Danio rerio: one gene and its partners. The main gene of each other region encodes a partner of the protein of the gene in region 2 in a complex. Links are inferred from orthologs where the notes say so. Each region holds a gene or a part of one and is shown on either strand. Other genes may lie near its edges.

Region 1 (5,319 bases), on a different chromosome or scaffold from region 2:
TTGTCAGCAAGATAAGAACATACTGTAGAACTGATGATATAACAATGGCAGCATTTCACTGTTGTGTGTTGGTATCCTTTCTGTAGCTTTGGATAATCATTTTTTGAAAACATTACACGACCCACATAGCAAAATTTCTCTGGCCCAACTGTGGCCCACACATTCAGGTTTTGCTTGGCCCACATGCCGCAGTGAATTACGGTACATGACTGGACCAAATCTGGCTTCCAGACAAGGGCCAAACACGGACCATATCTGGGCCGAGTCTCAGCCAAGTTAATAACTCATAACTGGGCCTGAACTGGGCCAGATAGGTTGGTGTGTCACGATTGCAATTAAATTGATAAATCCATGGAGTGATGCGCTTTAGGCACACTATGGGCACGCTTTTTCTCAAAGTGACCTGATTGGTAGAATTTTTTTTCTTTACTCAAAAATGATTTTAGTGTATTTTAAATGTGGGTCAAGACTGGCCAAACTCACATGGCCCACTTATCAAATTTTTAAATCTGGGCCAAATACTACGTTTTTCATCTGGCCCAAATCTTGTGTGCCGCCTTAAAGACGGTGCCACCTCTGCCAAACCCGGGCCATGTTTGGCCCACATGCTGTATGCCAGTGCCGGATGAATGCCTGCTGTGCCAGCTTTATGCCAAATCTGGGCCAGAATTCTTTGCTACTAGGGGAATTAAACCTACAAGTTACAGTACAAGTAGGCTAGTAGTAGCTTCTGCAACTTCAATCCTATTTTGTATCAGACATTGTCTTAATATGATTCTTTATGTCAGTCAAATCTGTCAACTTCAAAACTTGAAAGAAAAGCTGCAGCTGAACCGCTATAACATGTCTGTCTTATCAATGAGGAGTGTGCTAAAAACCTGGACTTTTACACTTTAACAATTAAACTAACTCTGGCCCATTTATCCATTTCAGTGCACAGTGCCTTTTTTCAACAGAGATTGACACAAGAAAACACTTGAGGGGAAAAGATGCATGTGACTCAAGTGGTTATATGCCCGAGCCATGTACTGTGGGGGTGTGACATTTCATGTTAAGAGCTATACGCTCCCTCTGCATAGCACCAATTATTATGTGTTCAGCTACTCCAATCTATGTAAAGTCATGTTTCTGAAAAACAGTGATGCTAGTGATGCTGCCATGTAGATAAAAAAGACAAGCAGTCTGAGAACTGAGCCATGATGCACACCTGTTACAAGATTTATTGACTCAGACACTTCAACCCTGACCCAGACCCTGGATCGACATGAGAGGTAATAATATTAATAACTAAGTTGACAAGAAAATGAATGAATGAATGAATGAAAATACTGCATAGACTCAAACCCCTAATATTCGTATCTAAAGTAGTTTATTCGAGTTGTATGCTTGATAAAGTACACATATGCGCTTCAAAATGTATGCTTTTGATATTCACATGCAGCCTAGTACTGGGAAACACCCACAGACTTAAACACTATGGCCAATTTCGTTTATTATATTCACCTATAGCGCATATCTTTAGACTGTGAGGGAAATCAGGTACACCTGGAGGAAACCCACACGAACACGGGAAGAACATGCAAAATCCACACAGAAATGACCCAGCTGAGGCTCGAACCAGCAACCTTCTTGGTGTGAGGCGATCGTGCTACCCACTGCGCCACCGTTACGCCCCACATATAGGAATTAATCAAATCTTACTCAAAAAAAAGACATATTTTACATACTATTTAGATATCTTAAAGACAGGGGGCTGATTAGATTGAAAGATTGATTATTTGTAAGGTTAATGTTGTTATTAATGGATCATTTTCCCCTTGACATCGACGCTAGTTGCTAGATGGCAGTATAGGCACTTGTTGGTTTGCCGACTTACAAAGAAGAAGACGAAAAAGCGGTAACTGAAACGCATGGTTTACTGAAAGTTTGTCAAATTATATGTTTTTTTAAGAAAAGAAATGAACGAAACACTCACGACTTCATCAGTGTCAAAGGTAAATGAGCGCTGTCTGCAATAAATGCATGATAACTTATTAAACTTGACACGCGTCCAGACTTACAGATCGTTATATGTATTTCAGGGATGTTTTGTTTTTAAGTCAGCCTCTAAAAAGAGAAAGCGACATGTAGGTCTTGGTAAGTAATGATTGTCATTATTACAAATATCAACGTCTTCACTTCCATACACACGTACTTCTTTCAACGATCACTATTTTTATTCATTACATGTAGACGAATATTTAGTGGAGGCTGACGACGACAGCGGCAGGGATCGATTTAGGATCTGCCAGAAGTTATGGGAGACGGTTCAGACAAGCACTGAGGTATGTATGTTTGCCACATGGAAAAAAATACTGTAGTAAATAGTGTGTTTTTGAACTACAGTTCTATCTATCTATCTATCTATCTATCTATCTATCTATCTATCTATCTATCTATCTATCTATCTATCTATCAAGTTGTCTGTCTGTCTGTCTGTCTATCAAGTTGTCTATCTGTCTGTCTGTCTATCTATCAAGTTGTCTGTCTGTCTGTCTTACTGTCTGTCCATCTATCTATCTATCTATCTATCTATCTATCTATCTATCTATCTATCTATCTATCTATCTATCTATCTATCTATCTATCAAGTTGTCTGTCTGTCTGTCTATCAAGTTGTCTATCTGTCTGTCTGTCTATCTATCAAGTTGTCTGTCTGTCTGTCTTACTGTCTGTCTATCTATCTATCTATCTATCTATCTATCTATCTATCTATCTATCTATCTATCTATCTATCTATCTATCTATCTATCAAGTTGTCTGTCTGTCTGTCTGTCTGTCTATCAAGTTGTCTATCTGTCTGTCTGTCTATCTATCAAGTTGTCTGTCTGTCTGTCTTACTGTCTGTCCATCTATCTATCTATCTATCTATCTATCTATCTATCTATCTATCTATCTATCTATCTATCTATCTATCTATCTATCTATCTATCTATCTATCTATCAGCAATTTTACCTTAATTAGCATTTACGACAATTTGATGTATATGTTCTTGGACATCGCAAATATGGTACTGTCTGCGGCAAGGATGCATGGCGCTTCTACAAAAACTATTACTTCATGGATATGTGCAATAACTAAGATAAAAGCTATGCCGGCCACAATGGCAGAGATGAAGGAGTGGATTAATGGGATGATTGAAATTGCATCATATGAGTGTATGCTGGGGAGACTGAACATGGAGGGAGAAGTACATAGAAATTGGGATAATCTTTGGCAACATTTAAAATTAGGATAAATGAGTATGTACATTCAAAGGTACCACAACCTTCATTTCCATATATGTTTGCTGTACATTGTTATTCTTTGTTGAATTTTCTTGGTGTACGAGGCTGAATATGTAACATGTATCATATGTATGTGTAGGGTAAAGTGTGTTCCTTGTTCTGGGCTGTTGAACAATAAAAAAGTAGAATTACAAAAAAAAAAAAAAGCTATGCTGCTGTGATTTTTTTTTTTTTCTTTGCATTTCATTTAACCTCTGTGTAAAAGTCCAATGTTTCTACCTTTATTCAAAGTGTTTTTGTAAGAAGTTAAATGCAGAGGTTAATTTATTTGTTTACGTATTTATTTATTTATGTATTCTACCTTTTTTTAAACTATTATTATTATTCCCTCGTTTAGTTTTTGGCCCTGATTTATTTCCTTTTTGTTAAGTGGTGACGTGTTTGTGACGTATGTATTACCCTTTCCGGGTCGTTCATTTGAGTGGAGAAATCATTTGTTTATGATCACGTTTTATTCCTATCACACATTAAAGTTAATTTTATGTAGAATCATAGTGTACACAACAATCTGTGGGCTTGCTGCATAACAAATACCAAAAATTTAACAGTTTATAAAAAAATAATCACTTTCTGGCCATCGGATATTGGGCATGGACATATATACTGCGATCGTGATTTTTCGAAAGTATTAAATCGCTTTGTAAACGTTTATTGTTACTATTTCATGAGTCTCCCCATTCAGTTGAACAGAGCGCTTGGACTCGGAAGCCGCTTCGTGTGACGTCACAATTAACAAGCGGATTATTTATTATTATTTTCGCCAGGGGTGGGTGGGGTTGGGTAATAATAAGAAACATAGTTGGTTGGTATCCTTGTCTATAACTATATACAATATTATTTTCAACTGTTCAATAAAAATTTTATCACAAAAACAAAAAAACGATTTGGTAATGAGTGCTACGACATCTTGTTTTAAATATAGTGAACTGATAAGCAATAGTAAATAGTGTAGTATACTTTATAATTTACTTTAGTAAACTGTTGTGAGTTTCCTTATTTTGTTTGTCTGGCTAAATAAATTTTAGCAAGCCTTTCAGTTCTTTTCTTTATTCATTTGCTCATACATCATGTATGTATTACAGGAAATACAAAATCAGCTGAATAAAAAGGTGCTCGACAGTCTTGTTGAGTTCATTAAAAAGCACGAGCTGGGCTCCTCATCTGATGTCTGGAGGCAGAGAACAAGTGAAATCCCCACAGCTGCCCTAATGCTAGGTAAGGCATGAGTTCGATTTTGAGATTTTCTGAAATATAGATTTTTTAGGTGCAGATCTGTGATTCATTTTAAAATGAGAAGCAGCTGTGAAACATAGTTTGCATTTTACATCCTGAGACTTATTTTATACACAATGGTGTCTTTATAACTAGTCTTTTTAAAAACTTGTTATTGTCTTCCAGGGGTAAATGTTCCAGATCATGCCATGACATTTCGCAGTCTGTGTAATCTCCTTCAGGATTCGGTCACTCCATTTGTGGTATCTGTTCATGCCAAGGAATGTGCAGGTATGCATACAACCCGAGAAAACTATTCAATCTGACTGAAATCCTGTCAGTGGTACAGAATGCCTGATCTGCATTTAAGGATGTGTTTGTACCTTATAATTGCAGATTTTCAAATCTTCTGTAAGTGGGCTGCACTGTGCATATAATACAATGATAATGTGTAGTTCTATAATGTTCATAAGGGGTGGGAATCACAGGTTATCTTGCGATACGGAAATCGTTTTGTCCCTGATAATGAAATATAACACAATATATCACTCAAATAAGGTTTAATGGATCGGAAATGAGGCAGCAGAGAACTGAAACTTACAACAAATAGGTGGCGGCAGTTCCTTGCTGTGACTACCGCTAAACTGAAAGCAAAACAAACATAAGCTGCGTCCCAAATGGCACACTATGCACTCATGCACTATGTACTTATTAGGGGTGAAAATCGAAATCGATCGAAATTTATGCTCAAATTTCGATCATCGAATCAAAAAATAGAAT
Region 2 (5,636 bases):
CTGACATTTTGCACTGTGGCAACACGCCAGCAGTGCCGTAACGAGGCCACATTTGGGCCAAGTCCGTTTGCTATGTGGGTTGTGTAAGGTCCACCCAGTTGGCCCAATGCCGGTATCCACTGGTGGATGAAGGTTTAATGCCTGTTCGGTCTTTCCAGTGCACAATGTTGATTTATATTAAACTTAGCTCATATCTGACTCCAATTTAATATGAGGTGGTTTAGAATATTAATATATTTATCCTCGTTTTATCTGACTCCAATTATAAAACATTAAGAAGATTATATCAATATGTAATTTAGATAAATGTTTGAACCTTTTGTCTTCACTAGTAACTATTACATCCGTTCATTCGGGTGCTCATGTCGCTCAGAGAAATCGCCTCGGCCGAAGGCGTCCCTCACGGTCACACTCCGGTCAGTCTTGAATATTAAACAGAGGTAAATTGACTAATACTTTAGATGGCCCCTACCAGCGCGCTCGTTCTAAAATACTTTAGTTAGTCCCGCTTAGATGTACACCTTTGAGTTAAGACAATCATGATTTCTAATTAGAGGTTAGGGCATTAATATAAATGTACCCGACTACTGGACTCTATAGTAACTTTGGTTTTCACCAAGCCCATGGTTTCCCATATGAACTTAATTTAGAATAATATTACCTTCAAACAAAGGTCGGGTACCCAATCTAGGTTAGTCGTGCAACACCTTGTTGACCTAGACGGAAGTTATCGCCCTTTCCACCTAAGTACACATGAATCAATATCAAGAGTCAGTCGGATCCCTTAAACACAATTAGTGTGCCAATGCTCCATCTCAACTGGATTTTAGTCCGTCTACTGACCTGACACAAGACGTGCGGAAACAAGGATACAGCGTAATCTACTAGAACTAATAATTACAGAGTGAGCCAAATATGGTCAAACATTACAATTTATTAGTCAGGTAAATGTATTATGCCAATTCAATCAGTCAATTCATAAATGATCAATACAAAACATCAAATTATCAAAGATAAATCCAAGATGAAAGATGCATACCTGACTTAAAAACTATACATAACTAGGAGCAGGCTCCATGTTATGGGCTGATCTGGGTAGGCAGAATCGCGCTGAACCTTTCTCAGACCTTGCCTTAAATAATCCAAGAATTCCCTCAAGGAAGGGGGTGTGTGCATAACAAAAGGCTTTCACACTTAGTGGAAAAGTCACACCCTTCACAGTGGTTCAAAAGATGCCTGAAGTTATATATTTATTGTTTTGATTAGGTCTATTTCTGAGAGAATGAGGCCATTGTACCAATCGCACTGAGACATTTCAAATTATATCAAACATGATAGTTAAAGTCAGTTTGGTTAATCTAGAACATTCAAACATTAAATGACCATATGTGAGAGATGGGTGGATGAAGTCGAGTTTCAGCAGACTCAGATGCAAATGCAGCAGGAACTAGTTTTTCCCGCATTCCCACCTGCTGGGTTGTTAAGTCACCAGTCTCTGTTTTCAGCTCATGTTTTGAATTGTCAAAGATATCAAAATATTTGCAATATTTCAACTCTTACAGTTGTATATATCTCTGGCTCTGGATGGCCAGTCCTCCACTGCTTCTTGGTCCTGCATTTATTTCAAAGAAGCGCTACCCTGTACTAAAATGGCGGCTCTATTAACGCATACCTTCCAATAGACAACAACAGGGTAAGCGACATCTAATGTAAATATCTATGTACCAAAATAAAACAAAATTCTCTATTTTTTAAGTTTAATGTGGAACAGTTAATTTAGGATACTTATTTTATGCATTCACCCTGTAATTATTAAACCGAAAGCCACTGTATAATTGACTACTATTAAGTTTGAAGTACTTAAAAATCCACCTATCATAAAGCCTACCGTGATTATCAGTTGTATGGGCCACAGGGCGACCTCTATCGTCCGCAATTAATGTTTACAACGGAAATAGAGTAGCGCCGGAACTACGTAGAGCAAGATGGAAGCTAGTGGCGCGAAATCACGGAGCATATATGGGTGAGTTTATATATGTACAATTCAGTATTTAACTTGATTTATTCACGTCTATATACGTGTTTTACGTAATTACTTGCCAAAACTTAATCTTGAACGGTTTTAAACAGTGTTTCAAGTTGTCTTTAAGTAACGTTAATGGGTTTAGCAAATACAAAAAGACGGAGGGTGGAAATAACGTTAAACTGAGAGCTAAGTTAATCATGTCACACAACGAACAGTTTAATGCTGAAAACATCAATGTACGACATTAAGAGGCAGTAAAATAACATAATAAAGACAGACCGAGGTGAACTGTATGTTGTTTCTTATGCAGCCTTCATATCATTTATGAAATAACATGAAATAAGCTTGTTTTGGTTATTTTATGGAAAAATAATCTAGCGAAGAGTAATTAAAATATTAATAAAACACGAAATAGTGATTTGTTCATGTGGTCTATGCTTTTTTTCTTGTTATAATGCTTTATTATAGTTATATTCTTGTGTAGTCATGTGATAAGCTATATTATTTTATTTATAATGTTTCATTTACAGACTGTATTTATCTGTTACAGTACAATATTACTGTGTTTTTGACTGCTGTCACAGTTTTTCTTAAGAAATGTGTCAGTTGTAATATATTTCAGGTACATAAATTCAGACACACAAACTCATATATATATATATATATATATATATATATATATATATATATACACACACACACACACACACACACACACACACACACACACACACACACACACACACACACACACAGTCCAATGTCAGTTTGAGAATGTGTATAAATTGAGGTTGTCATCATCATTCATCATCAACATCATTATTATTCTTGTGTGTTATTAATGCAGATGTGTGTGTGTGTGTGTGTGTAGGTGAAGATGAGCAAGCGAAGGCCAGCCGCTCTCTCTGATGTCCAGTGTGTCTCTCTGGTCTGTCCTCCTTCCTCATGTTATTCCAGATGTTGTAATGTTGTGTATTGCTGATGTGTGTGTGTGTGTGTGTGTTCAGGTTCAGGAGCTCCTGCGGGAGAGATTGTGTCATCAGAAGTTGCCAGATCAGCCCATAGGCCTCGACTCACAGTACAAGTGTGTTCACTTCATTAACTATGTGTGTGTGTGTGTGTGTGTGTGTGTGTGTGTGTGTGTGTGGATCTGAACGCATAACCTGTATGTGTTTGTGTGAATGTGAATAGTTTCCCGTGTGTGTGTGGATTCCTACCCCCTGTGTGTGTGTCTTACATTGGGAATCTGTGTGTGTTTGTGTTCTTACCCTGTCTTGTGTTTGTGTGTTAACTTGAATTCTTGATTTGAGTGTGTGTATTCTAACGTATTCTTGTGTGTCGGTGGATTCCTAGTCCCTGTGTGTGTATGTGTTAACTTGAATGCTTGAAACTACGTGCATGTTTGTGTGTGTATTCTTACCCTGTCTTGTTTTTGTGTGTGATCTTGAATGCTTAATCTGAATGTGTGTATTCTAATGTATTCTTTTGTGTCGGTGGATTCTTAGTCCCTGTATGTGTGTGTGTGTGTGTGTATATTCTTTTCCTGTGTGTTTGTGTGTATTCCTGCCCTGTGTTTTTTTGTGTTTGTATATGTGTACTTAAGCAGTGTGTGTGTGTTCAGGCACCTGCTGGAGCTGCTGAGACGAACTGCTGTTCATGGAGAAAGTAACTCGGTTCTCATCGTCGGTCCTCGAGGATCTGGTAAAACTATGGTATGATTTACTGACGGCTGATAAAAGAAATCAAAAAATAAAAATTAAATGCAGATATCATCATTTACTCACCCTCATGTCTTATTAAATATCTTTATATGACACATAATAGAAGAAATGATTTAAGAAGGTTTATGCTGCAACATTCATTTGTTATACAAACCTTGAAAATGTTTACCCTAATAAAATAATGACATAATACAATTAAATAATTTATGTAGTCTTTTATTGCAGTACATAAAAATAACATGGCATTTTTGTACTTTTTTATTCATTCATCCATTTTCCTTCGGCTTAGTTCCATTATTTATCAGGGGTTGCCACAGTGGAATGAACTGCCAACTATTCCAGCATATGTTTTACACAGCTGATGCCCTTCCAGCCAAAATATATATTTATATTTACCATATACAGTCATTCTAATAATATATACAGTTGAAACCAGAAGTTTACTTACACTGTATAAAAAGGCATTAAAAAATTTACTTAAAGAGTCAGATGTTAATGTGATTAAACTTTTTCTTTTTTAGGTAAGTTAGGATGATCAAATATTCCTGTTCTGCTTAATAGCAGAATAATGAGAGCGATATTGTTTGAGAAATTGCTATAACTTTTCTTAAAAGTCAAGTTTACATACAGTAACATAATTCTGCCTCTGGAAAAGCTCAGATGATGGTGTCAAGGTTCTGGAAGTTTCTGATTGGCTAATTGACCATATTTGAGTTCATTGGAGACACAACTGTAGAATAGTATTGAAGGAAAAGCTCAAACACACTGATTCCTTGTGTACCAACATGGGAAAATCAACAAGCCAGAATCAACAACAAAGCCAGATTACAATTAGCTAAATGACACTGGGGAAAAAACTAAATTTATTGAGACATGTCCTGTGATCTGATGGAGCTAAAATTGAACCGTTTGGCCATAATGAGCAGTGTTACATCTGGAGGACAAAGAGGAAAGCTTACAAGCCTTGGATCACCATCCCTACTGTGAAGTATGGGGGCGGCAGCATCATGTGGGGCTGTTTTGCTGCAGGAGGGACTGGTACACTTCACAGCATAGTTGGCATCATGAAGACAGAACATTATGGAGAAATACTGAAGCAACATCTCAAGACATCAGCCAGGAGATTAAAACTTGGCCACAAATGGCTCTTCCAAACAGACCATGACCCTAAGCATACTGCCAAATTAGTTCAAATGTGCTTTAAGGACAACAGAGTGAATGTTTTGGAGTGGCCATCACAAAGCCCTGATGTCAATCCTATAGAAAATGTGTGGGAAGAGATGAAAAAGCTTGTGTGAGCAAGACAGCCTACAAATCTGACTCAGTTACACCAATTCTGTCAGGAGGAGTGGGGCAAATCCCCCCCCCCCCCCAAAAAAAAATTGTGAGAAGCTTGTGGAAGGAGACCCAAAACATTTAACCAAAGTTATACAGTTTAAAAGCAAAGCTAAGAAACACCAAGGCAGTGTGTGTAAACTTTTGACTGTCTAGAAATGAATAAAAAATTCTCAAAAAAAAAGTCCTCTCCTTATTCTGGCCTTTAGCAAATGTAAATGATTTAGTTAATCCTAACGGACCTAAAATAGTAAACATTTAGTGATTTACCATCAGACATAAAAAAAATGGTTATGTTCCTTTTTTAGAGTGTATGTAGACTTCTGGTTTCAACTGTATTTGACATTTATATAGTTTTTGTACTCTTCTGTAAAACATTGGCATTGTGTTGTCTGAGAAATGAATATAAATATAAAAAACAAGGCTCCTTTTTGTTATTTTATGCACAAAAATTATCTAAATGACAACAGTTTTACTTTAAGAAGAAATGTTATCAGCGGTTACAGAATAAAACAATCAGTGTGTTTTAAATCCAGATAAGCTGAGCATTTCTA
Region 3 (5,324 bases), on a different chromosome or scaffold from region 2:
TCAATGGCATAAAACAAACAAAAGTGTGGAAAAAATAAGACACCTTTTAGGCGGTCAACATGTAATATTCTATATATTTTATTTAACCAAATGTTGGCGAAAATATGACTAAAAATGATCTAAAAATATTAATTATTTATACTCAACTGTTGTCTTTTTCTGCAAATAAATTATGCAAATGATAATAATATTATCATTTGAAATAAAAAAAAAACATGTTATCAGTAGTTTAAAAAATATATAATAAAAACACAAAACATCTATGAATGGCAAATCTAGATAACTGATAATATTTTTATTAATAATTACTGATAATATGCACACTGTGGCATGTATACTGCAATATATACATCTGCAATATTTTGATAATTATGTATATATATACATAATGTATACAGTATGTGTGTGTGTGTGTGTGTGTGTATTGCATAGCCCTAATAATAACACCAAAATACTGACAAATCTCCAAACATAAGCAAAACCATTGAATGTTAAATATTAGAATGAAAACTCACTATATAGCGTGTCTGTGTGGCAGGTGTGTTGGAGCTCATCTGTTTGTACAGGCGTACAAAATCTGACAAAGACGGACAACGCGGAAGCAAAGCAGCTGAATCTGGTCCGAAAAGGGCGGACAACACCTGGTAAAACAGCAGTCCAGCGGACACGCACTCCACACAGTCCACTGAAGCATGAGGAAGCTGCAAAACACACACAACACCAAAATACAGCCATTGTCTTTCACTTCTGACACTAAACATGTTTACTCAAGAAACCTAAAATGAAGGCAGAAAAACACTAAATGGATTTTTTAAATTGAAGTAGTTTTGTTAAAAACAAATCATCCTATGTTTATTATTTTTATATATAGTTATATATAGTTTATATATAGTTTATATTGTGATTGATAAATGATCAATTACTAAATCGCTAAAGATAGAGGCCTCATGCTGAACTGAACTTATTTATATATACTTATTAAATGGACAAAGCACAAACAAAATTAAGTAAATAAAAACCTTTTTTTGTATGCAATTGCTTAACAGCACTAATATTAGATTTCCATAAGTCCCAAAACAGACAATTAATCCTCAAAGCTATTAATCGTCAGACAGATTTCATAACTGTGATGGCCCTAGCAAAAACATAAACATCACTTCTAACAGATGCATTACTAATGAAAAACAAATAAACAAGTTCAGCTCGAAATCAAAAAACCTGTTTGACTTACTTTGATATCCTCTGATAACAAAGCATTAGTCTGTGCCCATCATACACGACATCTGCAGCCTGATTCTGACTTATAGCTTAGCAGCATTGATTGTCAATATGGGAGGTGGGGGGGATATCTAGGCAAAAGTGATGTAATGTGCTTCTTCACCTGCATAAATGAGGACTTCTCCAGTTATATGGAAACTCGGGTTTCCATATAATCCTTTTTCATTATCTTACCTCCAGATCCTTCATGATGGTGAGCACCACATGACTCTTTCCCGTTGCTCTGTGCCCATAGATGAAAACTGAAGGATAGCTGTAGTGATCTGGCTGTTAATCAACAGAATAACCACAATTCAAGTTAACAACGAACATGTGACATATCACAACTGTCACTATATAATGCAACAATGCCAGTGTGCAGCATTAAGACAAATTGAACAAGAGTGTTTTTTTAAGAACTATTTTAAATACACTTTTCATATTTATGTGCATGTGAGATAGATATATATATATATATATATATATATATAAAGAAATCATGAAATATTATTTTTTATTCAGTTTTTAAAATCATGTGAGCTTTTAATGAACATGGTAAAAGGTTATAGCATCACAAACTTTTTTTGTCATTTACATAAAGATTTTTTTTGTTTGTTTTCAAAAAATGAAATTGGTCAGAACAATTAAAACATTAACTGTTTTCATTTGTCATAATTTAAAAAAGCAGTGTTATTGCACCAATTAGTTCTTGAACTATTTTTATTGCCGTTTTATATATAATACGTCATTTTAAGTAAGCTATTATAGTACACTTCTTCAATTGATTTTAGTTCAGTAATTGTTAATTATATATATGTAGCTTCTATACATATATGTAATTATTTATATATTGTAGTATGTTTATGTATATTTACTTTCATATTTACATTAAGTTGCATTATTATTACATTTCTTCTACAGTTTATAATGGTGTTTTTTTTTACATTTGATTGTTTTTATTATTTCTATAATTTATTACAAGAACATAAACAACAGTTAAGTATAAAGTAAACTATAACAAAAAATAATAATTCTGCCATTTAACTTTTTTATTATTATTATTGCAAGAACGATACAAACAAAACAATGCCAGAGGTATTAAAATAATAAAAAAACTAAATGAAATAAAATAATAGAAAAGGCTTAAAAAATATTACAATTAAATAATGCTAGGCCTTGCTAACTCACATTAACTTAAAAGTGTCAAACAAATACACGGTTTAAACAGCTATTTTGTTAGTACTTCCCTTAATGGTATTTATATAAATATTTAGTTCTTTAAGTACCACTAAAACAGAGGTTTCTGATTGCTAAATTAACATCGATGACATACATAATATCGATACATAACATAAGCTTCATTTTCCAACTTCTTATCATGGTTAAACCAAAAATAACATATTCATACAGTAAAAGAAAATTTGACAGCACTTAATCGTTTATAAATTTAGATACCTTCCCCCATAACAGTTTTGTGTATTGACAATGCCAGAAAATATAAGGTACTGTTTCTGGGTGAGATGAGCAAAACAATTGACATCCATTTTTTTAATACATCTGGTTAAAAAAAATGCTTAACAGGGTAAAATTAGTGTACTATCTTAAATGAGATTTCTTTGATTTTATTTGTAATTAAATATTTATTAGGTAATACCAAAAGTTTCCTCCAATCAGTATTTTGAGTAAACCAATAGAAAATTACATATTCTGCCATTTAACTTACCTGCCCCATGAGTGACAGCAGTGACGTCACCTGTGTCTCCCTGCATGGCAGTTTTTCAGCAAGGGTGCGCAGTGTGTCTTCAGGATAACCGGGACACTGCAGAGTTACAGGCATCCTCTGATCACAGCAAAACACATGCATTTAGTAAAGTGATAAAAACTACAGATGATAAAAAGCTCGGTTTAAAACCTTGAGCGCACACAGGTGTTTGAACAAACTTAAATGCAAAACCTAGATGTAGATTAGATATCGCATTATTAAAAATGATGCGTTCATTATTGAAGATTAATAACCATAACTGCTAGAACCTATACTGAGAGATATTCACACGTGGTCAAACTAGCAAAGCCCTAAACATAACACTTTTAAGCAAAAACCAGTAACAACAAGAAACATAAAAACCTGATACTCGAGCAAGTTGTGTATCAGCAGAAAGACATTACAATTTTTGGTTATATATTTTCAGCTTTCTTCCTGCACGGTAAACTTCACATCAGTTTCCCCGCTCAAGTCGCAACATACGTCACAAGCCGCATGCGTCACTTCCGGATACGGTACTCTGGGATATGTAGTTCTTGGCAGTTGCTCTTAAATTAATTTTTTATAACGTTTGAATCGGAGAATCTTTGGTCATAATTCTCGCGAAACTCACAGAGACACAAAAACGATTTTGGATACAATTTTATATCGGACTCTGTTTGATCACAGAGTCATGCCAGCGTCTCTTTTCTGAATCTCTCCTGTATCTGCTATGCGGACGGGAGTGACAGACGCAGACTGAATATTCGGGTGTGCCTGAAATCTGCGCTGTTCGCTCGAGCGCGCCTCATTGACAACCACACGCGCGGAATGAATCTTTTCATCCCTGCTTTTTTGCACTGAGTCGACATCACTTTGGTCAGGTGCAGTGGGTTTTCTTGCTCCGAGATGTGCGCGCAGGATTAAATCGGATGGAGCAGTGGTGCGCCGTTAAGCCAGAAGCCGAGAGGAGAGCGACATTTGCGTGTTGCAACTGTCTGTGCGTGTAAATCTGAGAAGAATGGACACGCAAAATATGATGCAGTGCAAGTGTCGTCATCCCAGCATCCGTTATTTCTGTTGAACGCAACAGCACGGCGAGACTGATCACGGAAAATCAGTCTTTTCCCATAGTAGCCTCGTGGAAACGACCATTTGGACTGTACAAGGTAGATTATTGCTTATATAAATGTACCCTTTAGTATATATATGTCTCATTCGCACACCATCCAAGCATTAATTTATTCGGGTCATCATTAAGTATTCATACTGACATTTGCGTTGGGAATATTATCTATGATGCGCTGGAATGCGTCGTCGTCATATGAGCAGTGTTTTCCTATGAGTTTAGTCATTATTTTTATGCTGTCCCGAGTGTGATTATTCACCTTAATGAGATTGCTTGGCTGAATGATGCGGATGCACAGACACTGAATGAGAGGAGAGCTGGAAGAGAACATCATTGGAGTCACGGACAGACTGCCACATCCACGCTGAACGAATCACTGTGACATCTGGCACCAAAACTGCTTAGTCTGTCGCGACATCTGTGAGCTGTTCTGTCTATACTTGAGTTTAGCTGGCACCCCAGGCAACAACCAAGTCCGGATTGAATATACAGAGGACCAAAAGTCCAAACTAAATGCAGAAAGGAGAGAGTCTACACTGAAACTACAGATGAGCTGGACCTGGACTGAATCCAGATAGGATCTGAATCCAAGCTGCATCTGAAAAGGACCAGATTGGGACTAAATCCAGACAGGGTCTGAATCCACACCGAATCCAAAAAGGACCAGATTAGGAATAAATTCAGATTAAATCTGAATCCACAATAAATCCATAAAGGAGCTAAATCTGAGCTGAATCCAGATTCTGGATAATTTTTTGCATCCACACTGAATCCATAAAGGATCTAAATCTGGACTACATTTGAATCCTGACGGACCCGAGTGCAGTTAAAACTGAATCCAGATAAATCAAGATAAAAAAATCAGAGCAAAATCCAGCTTCAATCCAGTCAAAATCCACAAAGGATTTGAGTACAATTTGAATCCACATTGGATCTAAATGAAGGCTGAAATTACATCTAGAGTTATTCTAGAGCAATTTTTAAATTGAGTCTGAATCCAAAGAAGACCTAAATTTGAATTCAGAATTTAGAGCTTGGCTCTAGATATAATCCAGAAAGGAACCTAATCCAGACTGAATCCATAAAGGACCTACATCTGAACTAAATCCAGATCGGATCAGAGTTTGGTTTGAATCTACAAACTGAATCCTATTTCTAGATTAAATTTAGATAATCCAGTCTCAATCCAAGTAGGAC

Evidence for each region. The genes of interacting proteins can lie anywhere in the genome.
Region 1: the proteins of orc4 (region 2) and orc3 are in contact, whole or in part, in a cryo-EM structure (PDB 7JPO), measured with the Homo sapiens proteins. The link is inferred for Danio rerio from reciprocal best matches to the Homo sapiens genes ORC4 and ORC3. Residues at the interface, in NP_001177808.1 of Homo sapiens: Pro370, Lys374, Glu377, Gln381, Ser392, Gly393, Asn394, Ser395, Gln396, Arg397; in NP_036513.2 of Homo sapiens: Thr227, His260, Arg261, Leu262, Leu263, Pro264, His265, Ala266, Ser269.
Region 3: the proteins of orc4 (region 2) and orc5 are in contact, whole or in part, in a cryo-EM structure (PDB 7JPO), measured with the Homo sapiens proteins. The link is inferred for Danio rerio from reciprocal best matches to the Homo sapiens genes ORC4 and ORC5. Residues at the interface, in NP_001177808.1 of Homo sapiens: Ser18, Gln21, Arg22, Arg25, Glu26, Cys29, Arg30, Gln31, Arg69, Thr74, Asn100, Leu102, Leu103, Gln104, Ile105, Ile109, Glu113, Arg116, Asp162, Arg277, Met281, Met284, Leu285, Asn288, Met311, Asp312, Ser313, Lys314, Asn316, Ile317; in NP_002544.1 of Homo sapiens: Ile17, Ser20, Leu21, Phe22, Gly23, Glu24, His26, His27, Phe28, Ser29, Phe30, Pro31, Tyr36, Gly37, His38, Thr39, Thr98, Phe99, Asn100, Val103, Arg104, Arg131, Glu134, Asn136, Pro139, Gly140, Arg143, Gln145, Glu146, Leu147.

Annotation. Positions count from the first base shown.
Region 1 is NC_133192.1:55,406,116-55,411,434, reverse strand, and holds the start of orc3 (origin recognition complex subunit 3), read left to right. Parts: upstream 1-1,842; 5' UTR 1,843-1,958; coding exon 1,959-1,994; intron 1,995-2,081; coding exon 2,082-2,136; intron 2,137-2,232; coding exon 2,233-2,324; intron 2,325-4,409; coding exon 4,410-4,542; intron 4,543-4,725; coding exon 4,726-4,830; intron 4,831-5,319. UniProt on the Homo sapiens protein: Component of the origin recognition complex (ORC) that binds origins of replication. DNA-binding is ATP-dependent. The specific DNA sequences that define origins of replication have not been identified yet.
Region 2 is NC_133181.1:1,848,038-1,853,673, reverse strand, and holds the start of orc4 (origin recognition complex subunit 4), read left to right. Parts: upstream 1-1,975; 5' UTR 1,976-2,023; intron 2,024-2,873; exon of another isoform or gene 2,874-2,897; 5' UTR 2,898-2,903; coding exon 2,904-2,954; intron 2,955-3,033; coding exon 3,034-3,110; intron 3,111-3,647; coding exon 3,648-3,738; intron 3,739-5,636. UniProt on the Homo sapiens protein: Component of the origin recognition complex (ORC) that binds origins of replication. DNA-binding is ATP-dependent. The specific DNA sequences that define origins of replication have not been identified yet.
Region 3 is NC_133179.1:22,959,879-22,965,202, forward strand, and holds the start of orc5 (origin recognition complex subunit 5), read right to left. Parts: upstream 3,478-5,324; 5' UTR 3,383-3,477; exon of another isoform or gene 3,295-3,382; intron 3,098-3,294; 5' UTR 3,095-3,097; coding exon 2,981-3,094; intron 1,546-2,980; coding exon 1,453-1,545; intron 702-1,452; coding exon 516-701; intron 1-515. UniProt on the Homo sapiens protein: Component of the origin recognition complex (ORC) that binds origins of replication. DNA-binding is ATP-dependent. The specific DNA sequences that define origins of replication have not been identified yet.